Arabidopsis thaliana: one gene and its partner. The protein of the gene in region 2 interacts with the protein of the main gene of each other region in a pairwise test. Each region holds a gene or a part of one and is shown on either strand. Other genes may lie near its edges. The genes, in order: LUT1 and AT1G06890.

What was found.
Region 1: the proteins of AT1G06890 (region 2) and LUT1 interact in a protein complementation assay, tested with the Arabidopsis thaliana proteins (one large-scale study listed by BioGRID).

Annotation. Positions count from the first base shown.
Region 1 is NC_003074.8:19,691,214-19,701,136, reverse strand, and holds LUT1 (Cytochrome P450 superfamily protein), read right to left. Parts: upstream 8,381-9,923; 5' UTR 8,326-8,380; coding exon 7,828-8,325; intron 7,679-7,827; coding exon 7,382-7,678; intron 7,293-7,381; coding exon 7,095-7,292; intron 7,006-7,094; coding exon 6,904-7,005; intron 6,806-6,903; coding exon 6,665-6,805; intron 6,596-6,664; coding exon 6,488-6,595; intron 6,327-6,487; coding exon 6,244-6,326; intron 6,147-6,243; coding exon 5,984-6,146; intron 5,889-5,983; coding exon 5,859-5,888; 3' UTR 5,446-5,858; coding exon of another isoform or gene 5,068-5,445; intron 4,959-5,067; coding exon of another isoform or gene 4,622-4,958; intron 4,514-4,621; coding exon of another isoform or gene 4,449-4,513; intron 4,082-4,448; coding exon of another isoform or gene 3,782-4,081; 3' UTR 3,595-3,781; downstream 1-3,594. Other genes in the region: UGT73D1 (UDP-glucosyl transferase 73D1), read left to right, coding at 1,851-3,401; AT3G53140 (O-methyltransferase family protein), read right to left, coding at 3,782-4,081, 4,449-4,513, 4,622-4,958, 5,068-5,445; VPS37-1 (Modifier of rudimentary (Mod(r)) protein), read left to right, coding at 8,647-8,660, 8,987-9,169, 9,264-9,351, 9,782-9,821, 9,909-9,923. UniProt on the Arabidopsis thaliana protein: Heme-containing cytochrome P450 involved in the biosynthesis of xanthophylls. Specific for epsilon- and beta-ring hydroxylation of alpha-carotene. Has only a low activity toward the beta-rings of beta-carotene.
Region 2 is NC_003070.9:2,107,729-2,116,279, forward strand, and holds AT1G06890 (nodulin MtN21 /EamA-like transporter family protein), read right to left. Parts: upstream 6,959-8,551; 5' UTR 6,708-6,958; intron 6,707-6,707; exon of another isoform or gene 6,496-6,706; 5' UTR 6,446-6,495; intron 6,362-6,445; 5' UTR 6,311-6,361; coding exon 6,190-6,310; intron 5,694-6,189; coding exon 5,509-5,693; intron 5,411-5,508; coding exon 5,343-5,410; intron 5,111-5,342; coding exon 4,978-5,110; intron 4,872-4,977; coding exon 4,710-4,871; intron 4,609-4,709; coding exon 4,336-4,608; intron 4,132-4,335; coding exon 4,000-4,131; 3' UTR 3,878-3,999; coding exon of another isoform or gene 3,857-3,877; 3' UTR 3,595-3,856; downstream 1-3,594. Other genes in the region: Plsp2A (Peptidase S24/S26A/S26B/S26C family protein), read left to right, coding at 1,104-1,790, 2,035-2,103, 2,190-2,258, 2,442-2,528, 2,630-2,697, 2,791-2,914; AT1G06900 (Insulinase (Peptidase family M16) family protein), read right to left, coding at 7,427-7,670, 7,793-7,914, 8,002-8,155, 8,246-8,349, 8,465-8,551. UniProt on the Arabidopsis thaliana protein: Nucleotide-sugar transporter that transports UDP-xylose and UMP in a strict counter-exchange mode.

The DNA of each region.
Region 1 (9,923 bases), on a different chromosome or scaffold from region 2:
CAGGGATCGATTCCCCTCAGGCGTGAAATTGCTAGTTATTTTTATTTGGCCAGAGACTTTCACCTGGTTTTCTCCGGACCCTGCATGGATTAAGGGTCTAGGCCCCGAACCTCCTGCTTATCAAAAAAAAAAAAATATATGACAAGGACTCATATTTAAAATCCCATCAATATAGAGACAAATTAAGATTACCCAAAAGGTATGAGTGATACACGTCAATGCTCCAATATTCCAAAAGTTGAACTGGTCTTACGTTGGTTTGTTCGCCACATACGCACAATTTGAACGTTTCAAAGAGTCCTTTTTCATGCAGACAAAAAAATATGTCCTTTTCAGACGGAACTCTAAAAAGATAAGGAAAATATGCCGTGGTGTTTGGTGTTTGTTTATTCAAAACGAATGCTTAAATTAACTATCACAACTATATGATTTTCTTGGGCTAAAAGCTAGCTAGCTAGGTATATAGTTTCCTAATTAGTTTGTAGAAATGCCTTGACTTAAAATATTTTATGAACTTTTGATGATAAAAAATTAAACTTGGGAAGTATTTTTTCCCAATCTCCAATATATGTATATATTTTTTTTTTTTAAAGGCTTAATCTCCAATATATTTCGATGGGCAACCTACATAACCGAGGGTTGAGATCATACATTAATATATAAAAATATATCCAAGTTGTCATTCATTATCTTTTTTTCTTTCCATACATTATCTTGTTCTTAATTAGTCATCAAAATAATCTTTTTAGTATACATATTCTGATAGACAATAACTTTATAGAATATCTCAATCATTTCGCATCAAAAGTATAGATTCGTTTGCCCAAAAAAAATAAAAAAGTTATAGATTCGTTCATTACAACCAGATGAATTTGATTCCAAAAATATAAATTAAAAAATTACATATCGAATATCATATCTTGTTCAATCTATCTTGACTTTGAGATAGCGCCTTTGATTTTGTTTTCCTTCTCTCTTTCTTTCATGCGATCTTGGAACCAATGTTTGGAACAAAGAAAAACAGGAACTCCGTGAACCTAAACCTACGCAAAAAAGACTCTTTATTATGAGGAAAATAAAATCACATTTTGTATAAAATTAGAAGTCCTAATTCTTCTTCTTTTGTTCAATTTAAAGCTCAACGTGAACTCTTGTACAAATGTGTTGAAATTCTATCGAGTGCTAATTTTAAATTGATTTCATTTGCATTAACAAATCGATCTCTTTGAACACACCGGAAAGAAATTAAATGAAACTCATGTAGATTAACGATGTGATCGATCATGTGATAACCAAACAAATAATCTATCTTTAGGTGGAGACAAAACCATAATCAATGGAACTCTAACAGCCCCATCGGCCAAGCTTGACCTACTTGGTACTTCTTTATACAGAAGTCGTAATACAAAATAAACCAAATTAAGATAACGATATTTTTATATATATAGTTGTCTTTTCGTAAGTGTCAGTGAATATTTAACTTGTTTTACTAATAAATATTTAAGATAAGATTCTTTTAACTTAAATTTACATATCTCACTGGATAACTCAACATTTTTTTTTTTGTTTCATTTGTGAATTTTCCTTGAAGTTTTCCTCACATATATATTTTCCTTGAAGTTTTATCTTATGTAACTCATTAAGTGTCATGAATGACGTAACTCATCACCGTCAGCGATTTTTTTTTATAAGAATGAGGGTACATGATTGGTTCTCTAAACAATAGTTCTTTTTTGGTGACTTGTTCAAAGTCAGTATATATATACAGCTTTTGATGACTTTCCCAATTAATTAAAGGTCTCTCACCAGATGCATTCACACACGTATATACACATTGTCGAATTTTGTATATGCATAAACATTTGCTAAACCCAAAAATGGAATCAAAAATAGTTTCAAAAGCCAAAAGACTTCACTTTGTTTTGATCCCTCTCATGGCTCAAGGGCATCTGATCCCCATGGTCGACATCTCCAAGATTCTTGCACGACAAGGCAACATCGTTACCATAGTTACAACCCCTCAAAATGCTTCTAGGTTTGCGAAGACAGTTGACCGAGCAAGATTAGAGTCGGGTCTCGAAATCAATGTCGTTAAATTTCCAATTCCTTACAAAGAATTCGGTCTTCCCAAAGATTGTGAGACTCTGGACACTTTGCCCTCCAAAGACCTCCTACGAAGATTCTATGACGCTGTGGATAAACTCCAAGAGCCCATGGAACGGTTTCTTGAGCAACAAGATATCCCTCCAAGTTGCATAATCTCCGATAAATGCCTTTTTTGGACGTCAAGAACCGCAAAGAGGTTCAAAATCCCGAGGATCGTGTTCCATGGAATGTGTTGCTTCTCTCTTTTGAGTTCGCACAATATCCATCTTCATAGCCCGCACCTCTCGGTTTCTTCGGCCGTAGAGCCATTCCCTATACCAGGAATGCCACATAGGATTGAGATAGCTAGAGCTCAGTTACCTGGTGCTTTTGAGAAGTTAGCAAATATGGATGACGTTCGCGAGAAGATGCGTGAATCTGAATCAGAAGCCTTTGGGGTTATTGTTAATAGCTTCCAGGAATTGGAGCCTGGCTATGCAGAGGCCTACGCTGAGGCCATCAATAAGAAGGTATGGTTCGTTGGACCCGTTTCTTTATGCAACGACCGTATGGCTGACCTATTCGATAGAGGAAGTAATGGTAACATCGCAATAAGCGAGACCGAATGCTTGCAGTTTCTTGACTCGATGAGACCAAGGTCAGTCTTATATGTTTCTCTTGGTAGCCTCTGTCGACTAATACCTAATCAATTGATAGAACTAGGTTTAGGGTTAGAAGAATCGGGAAAACCCTTTATTTGGGTGATAAAGACCGAGGAAAAACACATGATTGAGCTAGACGAATGGCTAAAACGCGAAAATTTTGAAGAGCGAGTTAGAGGAAGAGGGATAGTAATAAAGGGTTGGAGTCCTCAGGCTATGATACTCTCACATGGTTCAACCGGCGGGTTCTTGACTCATTGCGGTTGGAATTCTACAATAGAAGCGATATGTTTTGGTGTACCAATGATCACATGGCCGTTGTTCGCTGAACAATTTCTCAATGAGAAACTCATCGTGGAGGTTTTGAACATCGGGGTTAGGGTTGGGGTGGAGATTCCGGTGAGATGGGGAGACGAGGAGAGACTTGGAGTGTTGGTCAAGAAACCGAGTGTTGTGAAAGCTATAAAGCTTTTGATGGACCAAGATTGTCAACGTGTAGACGAAAATGATGATGATAATGAATTCGTGAGACGAAGGAGACGTATTCAAGAACTTGCAGTAATGGCGAAAAAGGCTGTGGAAGAAAAGGGATCTTCGAGTATTAACGTTTCAATTTTAATCCAAGATGTTTTGGAGCAATTGAGTCTCGTGTAGAAAAATCGAATGTAGAAGTTGACATAAGATTTATAAGAATAACACCAAACGATTTTTCTTTTTGCCAAAGAAGAAAAATTCATATAGATATAATGTGCATAATATGTATACTTTCGAACTCTTCTCTTAGCCTAATGAGTGATTTAGAAATACTCTTGAAATCATCACTTAAAGAGTCTTTTTTCCTTTTTCTCGAAAGATGAAACTTATATATATGGAAAATGCCTTTTAAGGATGCACTTAGAATATAGACTTTAGATTATTACATCTTGATGAAAATATTAATGTCTTCACTAGATATCTCAACTCAATTAACAAAGAGGTCTTTTGATTCATTATTTTGAAGCTTTTAGAAATATGAGAAGAAAAATGCTTGAATATTACTTCTGAAACTCTAAGATGGTGTAGAAGTAATCAATGTAGAAAGGTCGAAAAGTAGGGAATCCCGCGGAGAGACCAAGCTCTATAAACTCTTCTTCGGTTCTATGCTTACCTTTGGTTCTATAGATGGTCATGACAAAGATGTCACCTTCTAACAAGGCACGAGTCCGGTGACTTTCATCGGTTTCCTTAGGCAAGACCGGCTCACACGCAATCAGCTTTCCTCCAACTGGTAACGCGTTGTAGCAATTCTTCATTATCTGCTTGCATTCTTCATCCGTCCATGTCGTTAACACCCACTTTACACTCAAACAACAATATTACAAGATATTAATTTGGGACCAGAGAAGCAAAAAATGTGTGTATTTGTTTGTGTTGTTCTTTCAACAAACATGAGATCCCTATCCATGGTCTAACAGATCACAAGTTTTTGGTTTGAGAAATGTATAATCAATATTTAAATGATCATAAATAAATGAAAGTGACCAGTCGCATGATCTAACGATAACTAAGACTATATACTACCAAACATATTGTCCGAAGCGACTTATAAATTTATACCTATATCACTAAACATTAAAACTATATACAGAAACTAGAATTCGTCCTATTAGCAAAAATGTTAGTAGGTGTATTCTCGTGACAGACAATAATGTTACAACAAACCTTCATGAAGATAGCGTCAGCGCTAGGAACTGATTGGAACATATCCCCACCCACGTGAGTCACTCCTAAACCATACAATATATCATCCATTATTACTCCGTACATTACTAAAAATAGCTTTTTACTTTCAGAAAATAACGTACGTACAATATATCATAAATACAAAATCTCACCAGGAATATTGGGGGCTTTGGCAACAACTTCAGGTAAATCGAAATTAATCCCTTCACGGACGTTAGGAAATTGTTGAAGGATCATACGCAGACAATCCCCTGCACTACCTCCTACGTCAACCAAAATATCCACTGATTTAAACCCATCGTAGCCGTCTAATATAGCTTTCATGAACGGTACAGATACGCCAGACATTGCCTTTTGCATTAGACCATTCATCTCCTCACTTTTCCCATACTGAGCGTATGCCGCCTCGCCGTTTGCTTTCACGTACGGCTCTGTCTCCGGCTCCACCACTGCCGTGTGAACTAGTGGCCATGCTCGCATCAACGCCTCCTGTAATATATATCATTTTCACAACAAGTTTTAGACATTAGTTTATTATACCATCATTAGTCCTTTAATATATCACTCCAATTTTGGAAAATGAAAATGAGTCATAAACCTGGTGATGTTGGAGGACGTAGGCAGCGTAAGAGAGGCCGCCGGAGTCGGTTACAAGAGTTTTTCCGACGTCCGTAAGAGAGTATTTCCTCTCAATGGATCCAACAAGGTGTTCGGAGAAGACACCGTAGCTGGTGAGCATCCGAAGTATACGCTGAAGATTCTCGGGGTCGCCACCAATGGTAGTGTGAGATGGTAGGTGGAGGCGAGGGAGGATCTCGGCGGCAGAGAGAGGAGAATTGGCTCCGCCGTTCCAAATGGCGTCGGCAATGCCTAGTCGCACGGCGGCATTGAGAGACATGGGAACGCTAATCATGTTAGCAAGCTCCATAATGGCAAGACGAGCTCTGTTTCTACTCTCTGAGCTTTCGTTCTCCATTTTTTTTAATCTTCCTCGTACGTGAAAGTGAAACTACACATCGCTATAGAACCCACTAGTATTGGTTTTATATGGTTTTATATGGTTTTTAAGGTTAATGTTACGTGTGGTCCATATGGAATGGGATGGTTTTAGACCTTAGTCTATTATTTAGAAATTCAAAAAAAAATAAAATTTTGATTTTCGTAATTACTGAAAAATGGAGAACAAACACAAGCTGTATGAAAGTTTGATTTGAAATGATAACACAATTACCAAACTTTAATGGTACTAGCATCTCACTGTTCAAAATTCACATTTCCGATGGTACAACTATTTTCCATAATTCATTTTTTTGTGGTTATTTCTCAAGAGTACTATGAAACAAGTCCATTCACACCAATCAATTATCATGAAAACATAAATTCTGGTTTTTACCTTTGGCTCACCTTCATATACAATCCCTGAAATTGAAAATATCAGCATTAGAGAAATTGGAATCATTCTAAACAAAACAGACACTCTCATTAATCTCTCGAGTGTGAGAACATTGGCATACATTGGTGGTGTGTATGGTTGCTCCTGTGGTCATGCTAATGGTCTGATCAGGAACCAGCTCAACGTTTAACCGCTGAAGAAACACCGCGAGTGCCACAATTGCCTCCATCAATGCAAACTGATCGCCTACACATTTTCTAGGCCCTCCACTGAATGGGATGAATCTGGTGAAAAAAGAAAATCATCTTTTAAATTCCCTAATCAAAACCACTAATCTTGATTCAGTAGTTTGTGTCAAAAGATGTGTTCTACTGAGTTTACTTGAAATCAGTGTTTGTTTCGTTAGGGATTGCGCCATCTATGTCGAATCGTTCAGGCAGAAATTCCTCAGCTTTTTCCCATACCTTTGGAATAACAAACAACAAACACATAAGAAATGTGGGCATGAATGTAATACTAGGAATGTCCACTCCGGTTAGATATCCGAACCACACAAAGATCATTGAAGAGAAGGATTAGGCTCCCCTATGTTATACTATGGACGAGAGAAGGAAGAGAACTGTACCTCGGAAGAACGATGGATGTTATAGACTGAAATCATAATGTCTTGTCCGGTATTGACCTTATAGTTCCCAGGAAGAATGTCAGGAACTTGAGCTCTTCTTATCAAGACCTACCAGGAAACAAATCAATCAGAAAATTTAGTTCATGAATAATTAGAGAGATGAGCTTGATTGCTTACAGGAGGATGAGGATAGAGACGCATTGACTCGTTTATACAACGAGTGATGTACTTCAACTCCTTTATATCCTCGAAAGCCGGGTTTCTTCCTTCTAACACTCTGTCTACTTCTTCTTGTGCTTTCCTTAATGCAGATGAGTTCTATGAACATAGAGAATTTGAAGAGGTAAATGAGAACAGAGAAGCTCCCATCCAAGTAAATTCTCTAGCATAGCAAAGTAGAAGATACATTAAGGTACCTTACTTAGGAGATAAAGTGTCCAAGTGAGGACAGATCCAGTGGTTTCATGACCCGCTACGAGCATTGAGAGAAGATCATCCCGTAACTGCACACTTGATACCTGAAAACCCTCACAATGCAACATCAGCTTCGATTATGCGATAATGAAAGGCCAAATTTGCTTATAAACTTAAGGAAAAAAGTTTAAACCTCTTCTCTGCTTGCAAGCAAGAAACGCAGGATACTTGGGTCAGCATCATTTACATACTCCTCATCATTGATTCTTTCGCCTTCTCTTTCGACAATTTCTTTACACTTAGCAATAAGGTCTTCAACAGTTTCCCTTATCAAAGTTACAGCCTTTTCAGCTTTCACCTGTCTCGGGACTATCTTACACAATGCATCGATCTGAAAAAAACAACCAAACCCTCTCAATTAACAAGAATCCAATTGTTCCACACAATCAACAAACCACAGAAAAAACACAGGAAACTTGCCTTCCAATATGGCAGAAGATCAGTAGAACGAAGCTCAGCTTCTTTAAGAGCAGTGTAAACAGCTTCAATGACAGGACTATCAGTAGTCAAAGAATCGAAATTGTAGTTAAAAAGAGACAACCCAATGACATCAAGTGTCATCTGAGAGAACTTCGCTTCCATATTCACAGCACTTCCGTCTTCTGCATAAGGCTGCAACTTCTCAACAAGCCTCTCTGCACATTTGCAGAATACTCTCTCCACAATCACAGACAAATACCTCCTGTGAAGCGATGGAACCACCGCTCTACGCCTCGCCTATGTAAAAAATCAGACTTCAGCTAAGCCCAATAGAGAAGATTGGAATCTAAACCCTAAAATTAGAGTTACTTATCATACAAGACAGTCACACATTACTTCCACAATTCCAAAAACTTCAAAATTGAGATAGGAGGAGATGAAATTACTGTCCAAAGAGGTCCTTCAGCGATAGCGAAACCCGAACCAAATAGAAATTCAGAGACTTCAGCGACTAAGCCTTTAGCGTACTTTGGATAATTCCTCAAAACATGTTTAGCTATCGCTGGGTCGCTCACAATTACGAAATTACGAGGACCAGCAGCGAGACGGTAAATGGGTCCGTACTCATTCATCCATTTGTAGAGAGGTAAGAAGAGAGCACCTCCGAGGAGATCAGCGACATCGTCGAGCTTCGCGTTCGCGATTGGTATACCTGACTCGTCGTTTTTTCCTGAGGAAAGGGTACGAGTGAGTGTTGTGAGCCAATCGGGACTGACCCATGATTGGGATTTCGATGAATTGGTCTCGAGTTTGGGTTTGGGTTTCTCAATGGAGGATCTGATGGAGAATGTGAATTTGGGTTTTGGTGATAAAAGACGCGTAGGTTTTGCAGTGAAGAGAGAAGAGTAAGAAGAGGAAGATGGAGAAAAGAGTGAAGACTCCATTGATGACCTCTTTTCGAAGCTTCCGTGCAGAAATATTTGACTCTGTGTAGAAACGCGAACCGTTACGCGTGGATAAGGACGACGATGCATAAAACGACTACGTTTTGTTAATCAAAACTTAATATGGGCCTCCTCGTATTTGGGCCTTTTAAAAGCAAGTAGCAAAATCTGAAACGAAACAGAGAAGATCGAATTTTCTTTGAAACTCTGTAAACTCTGTTTCTGTAAAGTTGTTAAATTTTGTCGATCTGGTAGGAAGAAGAAGTACAAGAGAACAAGAAAAAGTCAATTCCTTTCGTTAGTCGGCGAATTCTAGAAACGATGTTCAATTTCTGGTATGATTTTGCGAATTTTTTGCCATCTGATTCATATGTTATTGATGAAATTGCGTGATCCAGACATTAGGTCTGTTAGCGATTAAGGAAATCTTGTTGTTGTGTAGTTTGTTGAGCTATAATGATATATTTGAGGTTTTTGAGGTGAATTGACAAGTGTAGATTTTGCTCAGCTACTGATTTAGGGTTCATAGTTACTGATATTAGGTTTACAATGATGTGCTGTATAAATGCACCTTTCAAGTTTATGAGGTGATGTATTATATTAACTTGGAAGCTGAGATAGTTAGTTGATGATGTTTCTTTTTTTTGTTGTGTACGTGAAGGGGATCAAAAGACCAACAACAAGGGCAATCTCGTCCTCAGGAAGCTTCTTCACAGTCGCCATGGTACTCGCCTTCTTTAGTTAGCTCGCCAAGCTCATCCCGGCCTCAAAGTTCAGGTCAGATTTCAGCACAAGTATCACCGGGTGAAGCAGCTGGCATTATCGTCTTCTTGAAAGACAAAAGGTTTGCTCTTTTTGTTTGTTTGTTTGTTATCCTTCTCTCGAGTGTGCGTTTTTTTTGTATGTCTTCTTTTTGAATAGTGTATACTTTTCTGTAGCGTGGATGAACTCAGGAAGCTTCTCTCTGACAAAGATGCGTATCAGCAATTTCTGCTCTCTCTTGACCAGGTCAAAGTCCAGAATAATGTAAGTCTCTAAAACAGTCAGTTGTTTCTGGATAGCTAAGAGTATTACTATTAATTGTAGTCCTAAGAATGGAGCTTCGTTAGTTATGTGTTGATATTATTCATTGGTGCTCTTTCAAGTATATACATTGATATTGTTTGAGGAAGCCTTTATCATGGCGTCATCTTCTACATGTTGCCAGTAATTAGAGCTTTCTGGTTCTTTGTTATAGTCTCTAAAACAGTCGGTTGTTTCTGGATAACCGAGGGTCTTATCTGTAGCTCTAAGAATATGTAGCTTCTTTAGTTCTGTGTTGATATAATTCATTAGTGCTCTTTCAAGTCTATACATTGATATTGTTTGATAAAGCCTGTATCATGTCATCAGCTTTCTGGTTCCTTGTTATAGTCTCTGGACGTTAATTTTTTCGTGATTTGTTTCTGTCCGTCAGATCAAAGATGAGCTCCGTAGAGAAACATTGCAGCTAGCTAGTAAGTACTCTATGGTTCATGTAATTCTACAGGAAACTTTAGTTCAATCCAGAAATCTAGAACTTTCCATTTGATCAAATGTAACAGGAGACAACTTGGAGA
Region 2 (8,551 bases):
AAAAACAAAACAAAACATGCCGATAGACAAATTCTAATCCGTATGAAGCCTCGATGTATCTTGAGCACAATATAAATATTTGATTAAATAGAAGCATTTGGGAAGACAACGAGAGATTAGTGTTTGGCTAAAAGAAAAAAAAACGAAACAGAATCCATTTTGTTAATTAGGTTGTGGTCAAACTCAACCCAACTAAGTTAACGACTAATTATTTAAAGATAATACTGATTAATTAAGAAATATCAACGAAGCTTCGGGCGAACCTTAAGAGAGAGATGACGTATGTGCTGCGGTCATTCACTTTCTTTATAGTTTTCCACATACACACTCCTGCGCCCGGTCCCAGAGCCTTTACCTTGTTACGTCTCTAGTTCATAACTACATGTCTACCATGTATTATAGGGATATCAAAATGGTCTATACATGATTCATTATTTCATATATCTAGGTTATATATTATTTTCTTATAGTTGATTTATAAACACCAAAATATCTTTAGCAAATGTTAATATGTGACAACTGACAAGAAACATAGGTTGTGCTAATGTCTTTACTTTAAAATTCAAATCGGCTTAAAAAATTATGTTCTTACGAGCAAAAGATTGAAAAAAAAACGATGAAATTTATCGTGTGCTTTTATTAATTGTACATCTAAAAATGTATTAAACAATTTTGCTCAGTACAACAAAATTCACAATTGTAATTTTGTGAAATACCCACTCCACCATCTTTTTATCAGATAATTCTAATTTATTTTTGTCAATGTTATAGCCATTTTTGATACTTGCGTATTTAATTATGGGATATTATGAATAGAAATTGTATATTTAAAGGCCCATTTTTGGCCCTAAATGTAATTGATGACTCAACTCAACCAACAACAAGAAGAAGAAGACTCTCTCTGCTTTCGACCAAAACCTTCTCCTCTCCTCTGGGAGATCTCCATCTTCTTCGCTTCTTCGCTTCCCCGCCTGAAACAATTACTCGATCTCGCCGGCGGAACAAGCTCTCCGTTTCTCTTTCCGGCAGATCGATTCTTCCAATTCCTTATTCCTTTCTAGGTCTTCCTTAAGAAACCCTTACTTTCTTCAAAATCTGCATTTATGGCGATTAGGGTTACCTTCACCTACTCCAGCTATGTTGCTAGGAGCATTGCTTCATCCGCCGGGACTCGTGTCGGTACCGGCGACGTTAGATCATGCTTCGAAACATGGGTTCGTCCCAGGTTCTGCGGCCACAATCAGATACCAGATATTGTTGATAAATCTCCCGGATCCAACACATGGGGTCCAAGCTCAGGCCCTCGTGCTCGACCAGCTTCATCAATGTATAGCACCATTGCGAGGGAAATCCTCGAAGAAGGCTGCAAGAGTCCACTTGTCTTGGGTATGATCTCTCTCATGAATTTGACTGGAGCTCCACAGTTTTCGGGTATGACCGGTCTCGGGATCTCTCCCTTTAAGACTTCTTCTGTCATCCCGTTCCTTAGGGGTTCCAAGTGGATGCCTTGTAGTATTCCGGCGACGTTATCAACGGATATTGCTGAGGTTGATAGAGGAGGAAAGGTCTGTGATCCTAAAGTGAAGTTGGAGTTGAGTGATAAAGTCTCGAATGGTGGAAACGGATGGGTTAATAAGCTGTTGAATATCTGCTCGGAGGATGCTAAGGCTGCTTTCACGGCGGTTACTGTTTCTCTCCTTTTCCGATCGGCTTTGGCCGAGCCAAAGTCTATACCTTCAACATCTATGCTTCCTACTCTCGATGTGGGTGATCGTGTTATAGCCGAGAAGGTGAGATTACTGGTTTGTTCTGTTCTTAATTGTGACCGTAGAATGATGTTTGATCTTGAGAGGTTTTTAAAATGACGGCTTTAACCAATTCTGCATTGTTGGAACTAAAATTTGTTATTGGAAATGGTCTTAAATGTGTTTCTTCTTACATAAGAAATGCACATTGATCTTTTAATTGGTGATGTGGCTTAATCACACTAAACCATTGTGATCAAATCTGTCTATTTGCTTTGGTGTTGGACAGGTCTCATACTTTTTCAGGAAGCCAGAGGTTTCAGACATAGTTATCTTCAAGGCTCCTCCTATTTTGGTGGTATATATCTCAAATCACTATTTCTGGGTTTTCAAATGTTCTTAGACCTTTTTCAAAGGTGCTTGATACTCTCCTTTGAATTGCAGGAACATGGTTACAGTTGTGCTGATGTTTTCATAAAAAGGATAGTTGCTAGCGAAGGTGACTGGGTTGAAGTAAGCCCTTATCTCTAATCCACTTGTTGATTGATCCTATTCTCCATTGAAGTCTTTGGTCATCTTTATCGGTATTACTTATGTAGTGGCTTCTTGATGACCAGCCTCCTCAAAACAGACTCTTAACCTTTGTTTCTGTTGTTGTTATATTCCTGTCTAACCTATTGATGCTGTATCATATAGGTTTGTGATGGAAAGCTCTTAGTAAATGACACTGTTCAAGCAGAGGATTTTGTCTTAGAGCCAATTGACTATGAAATGGAACCAATGGTAAGCAAACTTGCGCTTGCTTATTGAATGTTTTCTCGACCTAAAAATTATTAGAAGAATGCTGCTAACTTGATCTCTTTCTTTTTCCTGTTTATTTGCAGTTTGTCCCTGAAGGTTATGTCTTCGTCCTAGGAGACAACCGCAACAAAAGCTTTGATTCTCATAACTGGTAACCACTTTCGAATATATTATTAATGGTTGTTCTGTCTTGGTTATGGGAACTCTGTTGATTCATGGATGATGTGGTGAATGTAAAACGCAGGGGTCCACTTCCAATAAAGAACATCATAGGGAGATCTGTGTTTCGCTATTGGCCACCAAGCAAAGTGTCAGACATAATACACCATGAACAAGTTAGCCAAAAGAGAGCTGTTGATGTATCTTGACCAACGCAGATGGTATCTTAGGATTAAGCAGAAAATTTGATTAGATGAGCTGTGCCATGCCAACCATTTTGGCGCTGAAGGCAACAGAGCAATTCTTTCTTCCTGTCTAGGCTTGATGGCGGACATGGAATGCACTGGGAAATCCATATAAAAAGAACAAGAAAATTGATATTTTTGCTTTGATTTTTTTTGATGTGTTGAAACCTAAATGCATCCAGTGTAATTGGCAGTAGCTGTCAAACATAAAAGGGTAAACTTTCTTTTTTGAGTATTTAATGTGAAGAATCCTGTAAACGTTCTGTTCTCAAGCTCTTGAACATAATTGGTTCTGTGGAATTTGCAGGCTATTTTGGCAGATACAAGATATTAATAGTTTGTATAAACTTAAAATGCAATATTTCAAAAATAAAAATTAAAAATAGAGCTCAGAGTAGGCGAAATCATCTGATATTCAGGAGAATGCATTGGACCCAACCAATACTAAAGCCAATTTCATCACAGCTCATGCACCAGCCGGGAATCGAACCCGGGTCTGTACCGTGGCAGGGTACTATTCTACCACTAGACCACTGGTGCTTTGTTGAACCTTACGCTATGTTTTAAAATAAATACCAGAAACCTTTTTTTTTACTCTCATCAAAATGGTTTGGTCAAGATATGGAATAACTGAATAAGAATTGGGACAAGTTGGTAAGAAAGCTAGAATGAGTTGTGTAGATTCATAGAAAAGAGTCTAAAAATCAAATATATGTTTTCAGTGTTGATGAATATAGCCACAGCCTTTTGAATACAGAGTTGTAATACTAAATCCAAAAAAAAAAAAAAAAAAAAAAGAGAGCTGCTGTGTATAATAAAATGGATCATCAAAGCTGTTCCCTTTTCTTCCCCTCACTCTCTACTTTCTTCTTTTTTTCCATATGGTGTGGAAGGTTTGTTGATTTTTCAGTCTCCCCTACTTCTCTGCTATGCATATTTAAAAAGGGAACAAAAAAAAAAAAAAAGAGAAATTAAAAAGTTTGTGTTTTTTTGGGGACAATACAAAGAGAGTTTGATATTATATAAAAAAATAGCGATGATCAAAGCTTTTAGGCTTGAAAATCTTTATTTGAGTTCCATACAGGAGCCACCGTCTTTTGCTGCACTCCCCCGCCGCCATCTGATAACACTCCGCTTCCATTTTCAGCTGCTATTAGCGGATCCTTCTCGCTCTCTTTCATCTGACAAACCCGAGTAAACCAAATTAAGCAATATAACAAGTCAGTATATATAGATAGACCTGAAAAAAGCCTATGATACTGATGCTTTTTTATAGCAATCTAATTGCAAAATCAATGGTACTATAAAAAGGAATATGATTTGAGGGACTCATCTAATTACCAACAGAAATATATTAGAGGGAACAGAGAGATGAAGAAATATACCTGAGGCAACTGAGTTGAGGTTTCACTTGCCTTCTGCTGAGTCTCAATCGAGCAGTAATAGGAATAAACAACCATTCCAATCACAGCCACTAGAATACCGAGAATGTTGCGCCAGTCGAATGGGTCTCGCAGCAACACATAGCCAAATGCTAGAACCAGGCATGTTTTGAGATGTCCTAGAACCTGATATGTGACAGGAGATGTTTTTCCAATGACAAGAAATGTGCTGAAGTTTACAGAGACTGATATGAGGCAAGACAGGACGATGAAGAACTGCAATCAACAAAGAAGCACTCGTTAATATGCAGGATCGACATGGAAGCAAGAAGATCAGTTAATAAGTTTGGTAGAATCCCCGGGAAATTGAGTCTCACCACTACTTGAGAAGTGTACTTGAAAGCAAACACGTTCTGATTGGTTAGGAGCCCATCTAAAAATGGCCCAGTGACGAAAAGAGTGATTGCTTGATATGGGCAAGACTGATACAGAAGCTGCGTGGATGAAACTTTGAACTTCTTCTGGATGGTATTTGTCATCTGTGTACAATTGGTTAAGATAACAGCATCGAATTGGTTTAAGACAAGATATATAGAAAGGTGAAAGAATAAAGCAATGAGAAACCAAAGGCTAGGCATAGGATACAATTTGAGCAACACAAGTTGTGACAACAGCCAGCAGCGACAAGACAGAACCCAGCATATTAAGTTGAAGATCTGTGACGGTTGCAATTCCAACACCAAGGAGAAGGATGGTTAATGAAAACTGGATTTTTCGACTGCAAAGAAAAAAAATAAGGGTGTCATTAACTAGGCCCTTGACCACAAACTAGCGAGAGACATAACGCTATCACTAAGTTGCTCAACTATTACACAGTATATAAAATTAGAACTTTGGATTAAGTCAACCAGAAATGCATGACCATAAGAAAAATATAGATGTCATGTAAAACAGCTTCCTCCAAATCAATAATTATTCACGTGTTAATGGAAGAGAATTTGAGTGCTAACCTGAACTTTTTCCTGAAGAAGAGGGTCTCCAAGAGAACAGTGCAGGGGATGATAGCTAGTTTAGTCATCTATTATCAACGGAACAGAAGATGGGTTAGAAATTAGAACAACACTAGTTAAAAATGGATATCACATCATGCAGTAACTGAAATGGAAAAAGCTATACCTGGTAAAAACCGACAGAATTAAAGCCCAGGCTGAGGTTCAATAGTCCTATGGATATCCCATTCAATATGCCAAATCCCATCACAGCTCGTGGATCAAAAGGCTTGTGTTCGAACATCTTCATCCATAATGCCACATGAAGGGAACAAAATGTGACCAAAAGATGCCAACTTGTCAAAGTAGTCGCTGTACATACAAAATAACAAGAGTAAGAACAGATAGCTTATGAGATCAAAATTGCATAAGATGACATAAAAGCTGTTATGGCAACACAGACATCAAAATGGGATAAAACAGTGTCTTGCAAGTATAATAATACTACATAAGAATCAATGGTGTATCCTAGGAAAGAATATTGAGTCATACAGAAAAGAAGAGGAGCACCTAAATTCTAAAGCGATAAGAAACAATCTTAAACATATACAATCATGAAGGCAATTCTCGTTTATGTACCATAAGGGACCTAAAATATAACCAACAGACAATTCAGAACATAGTATGAAGTAAAATGATCAACAATCTATTCCTCAATTTCATCAAATAAGAGAAGGCTCGAAACGAATCGCGCAGAGTAAGCATTAGTATACAAACACAAGAATAGATCCAGAGGAAACAATATCAGCAGCGCAACATGGATAATCAAAGGAGCCTGTAACAGTGAAGGAAGAATTGAAAAGGTTACCGAATGTGAAGCCAAGGGTGCTAATAAGCGCTTTGTTACAGATCACAATCGAGACAGATGACACAACGGACAAACTCAAAGCGCCGATTGTTCCCAACTGGAACTTCTGGCCCTCGCTCATCTTCGCTCTCCTAATTTATCTCTCGCTTCTTCAATCACGATCTACGATGATCTAATCCACCAAAAATTATACAAGGAATGATAACGGTAGACAGTAAAACGTGAAGAAAACAAGAGCGATCTGGAGAAAACGAACCTCATTCGTGCATAACGTAAACGTAAATGCGAAGCTTAAGGCAGCTCGAGCTGAAGCAAAATGGAGAAAATAGAAACTCGTTAGATAAAAGAGTGGGAGAACGAAGGAGATTTATTGAAAGCCAGAAGCCATAAACCCTAGATCTGCCGTTATGAGACAGAGATCAAAGAAATCAGTTGAAGGCAAAATTCAAGAGACGCGAAATGAAACAAGGAGAACATAAGGAAGGAGAAAGAGGGAAGAGAGAGAGAGAGAGACTCACAGGAGAATTGGAGAACCAGAGAGAATTCAAAACTTCGACGGAGGAGAAGAGATTCAGATTAAGCCTATTTTCTGCAATTTTTGATGGTCTTCACTCACCACCGTACAGAGAAAAATAGTGAGAGAGAGGAAGAAGAAAGATAGTTTTCGCTTTCTACGTTTGATAGGCCCTACCAGAGAGAAATTAACCGCGGGATATAATCGTAATTATCAAACAAGCTATTCATGATCCACGTTCACATTTGATTTTTTACCGTTGGTTATTTATGTAAGACATTCACTGTACAATCAAAGGTCATTTTATACTTTCTTTTCATTTATTGTTCCAGTGGACATATACCTGTCATTAAGGAGAAAATTGTTCCAAATGGGATTTTTCTTAGTGAGAGTTTCGATGGTTATTTGAAGTAAGTTTTTATCGATTGATAACTTTTTTTTTCTGTCTGTTTTTTAGTTTTGCTGCTTCTTTTTGGGTAAATGAAATCTATACATTGTATAAGATAATGCTTTTCTAATCAATAAATATCAAATTATCCACCAGATAAAAATAATAATTTAAAAAGCGTATTCTCAAATCGTAACAAAAAGGGATATTTTTGGTGTTTGTCACCCAAAAGTATAACCTATCCAATGAGGGTATGAAGAAAATTGAGTGAATCAAAATATAAAAGATAAAAAAAAGGGAAGACGAAGCAAAACTCTTTTGTATGTTTCTTCTCATTAGCAAAGGCTGGGGTAAAACTTAGAAGTTGACTTGAAAGCCACTGCGTCTGCGATGACCTGCACCGCCTTTTGATCTGTTTGAGTTTCTTTCATATTGGTATCGCATCCCCAAACCCTTACCGCAAGCCTACGACATTTGGGTGATGATTCTCTGAAATAGGTTTTGTACCAACTGATCACATCTTTCTTCTGTATACTTCTTAGTTCTTCTGCTTCTTTGTGGGAGAAATCAAACATGTACCTGTGAGAGAGTTAACTCCATTTTCATTCGCCAGTGACCGTTGTGGATATGGATCCAAGTAAATCATTGAAAGTTCTATAGATACTACAGGTCACATAACTTCAAACCCTTGAGATCCTTACCTTTTGTCAACAATCTGACTCCATAAGTCATTTGTCTCGGACAAGAGAGAGGGATCCTTTTCCAGCAATCTAGCAATCATACCACTTCGGTAATCTTCATAGGATTCATCATCCAGTTGTTCCTGCAATTACAGTCCGATTAACATATGTGGAGCGAGGTAAAGATTTAACAAAAAAAATCAATATATTCTTTTTGATTACAGACTTACCAGAAGCCCTTCGATATCTTTTATGAAATTGTCAACTCTCCCCAGCAAATGAACTGGACCGTACTTAGAAGATTGAACACAGAAACAGAAACCGTGCACACGATACGTTAAGCGAGGGCCACACTCGACAACATAACCAAGCTGCTCCTTTGTCCTATATCCAAAATATGTATATATATGTGTGACTATACATGAATACAATTTTGATCTATTAAAAAAACTAGGTAAACATGTGATGACTAACCTCAACTGATTGAACAATGGCTCTTCTATGATTTCATGAAAGAGATCCAGCACAGCTTTCGTTCTCGTTGATTGAGCTTCTTCAGGCTCGATTTGATAGTAAAGCTGCAAATCAGATGCAGGTTAAAATTCAAAACCATGATTATACCCGAGGAAAGTACAATGTTTTCAACTCTTCTTGGCTGACTCTTATCACAAGAAAATACTGTTTCCTTTTTACCTCGACTACTGAGTTTGTTTCAGATTTGTTCTTCACATTGACATCTCTCACAAGTTTGGCACCCATAGGGAAACATGTTATCTGTTC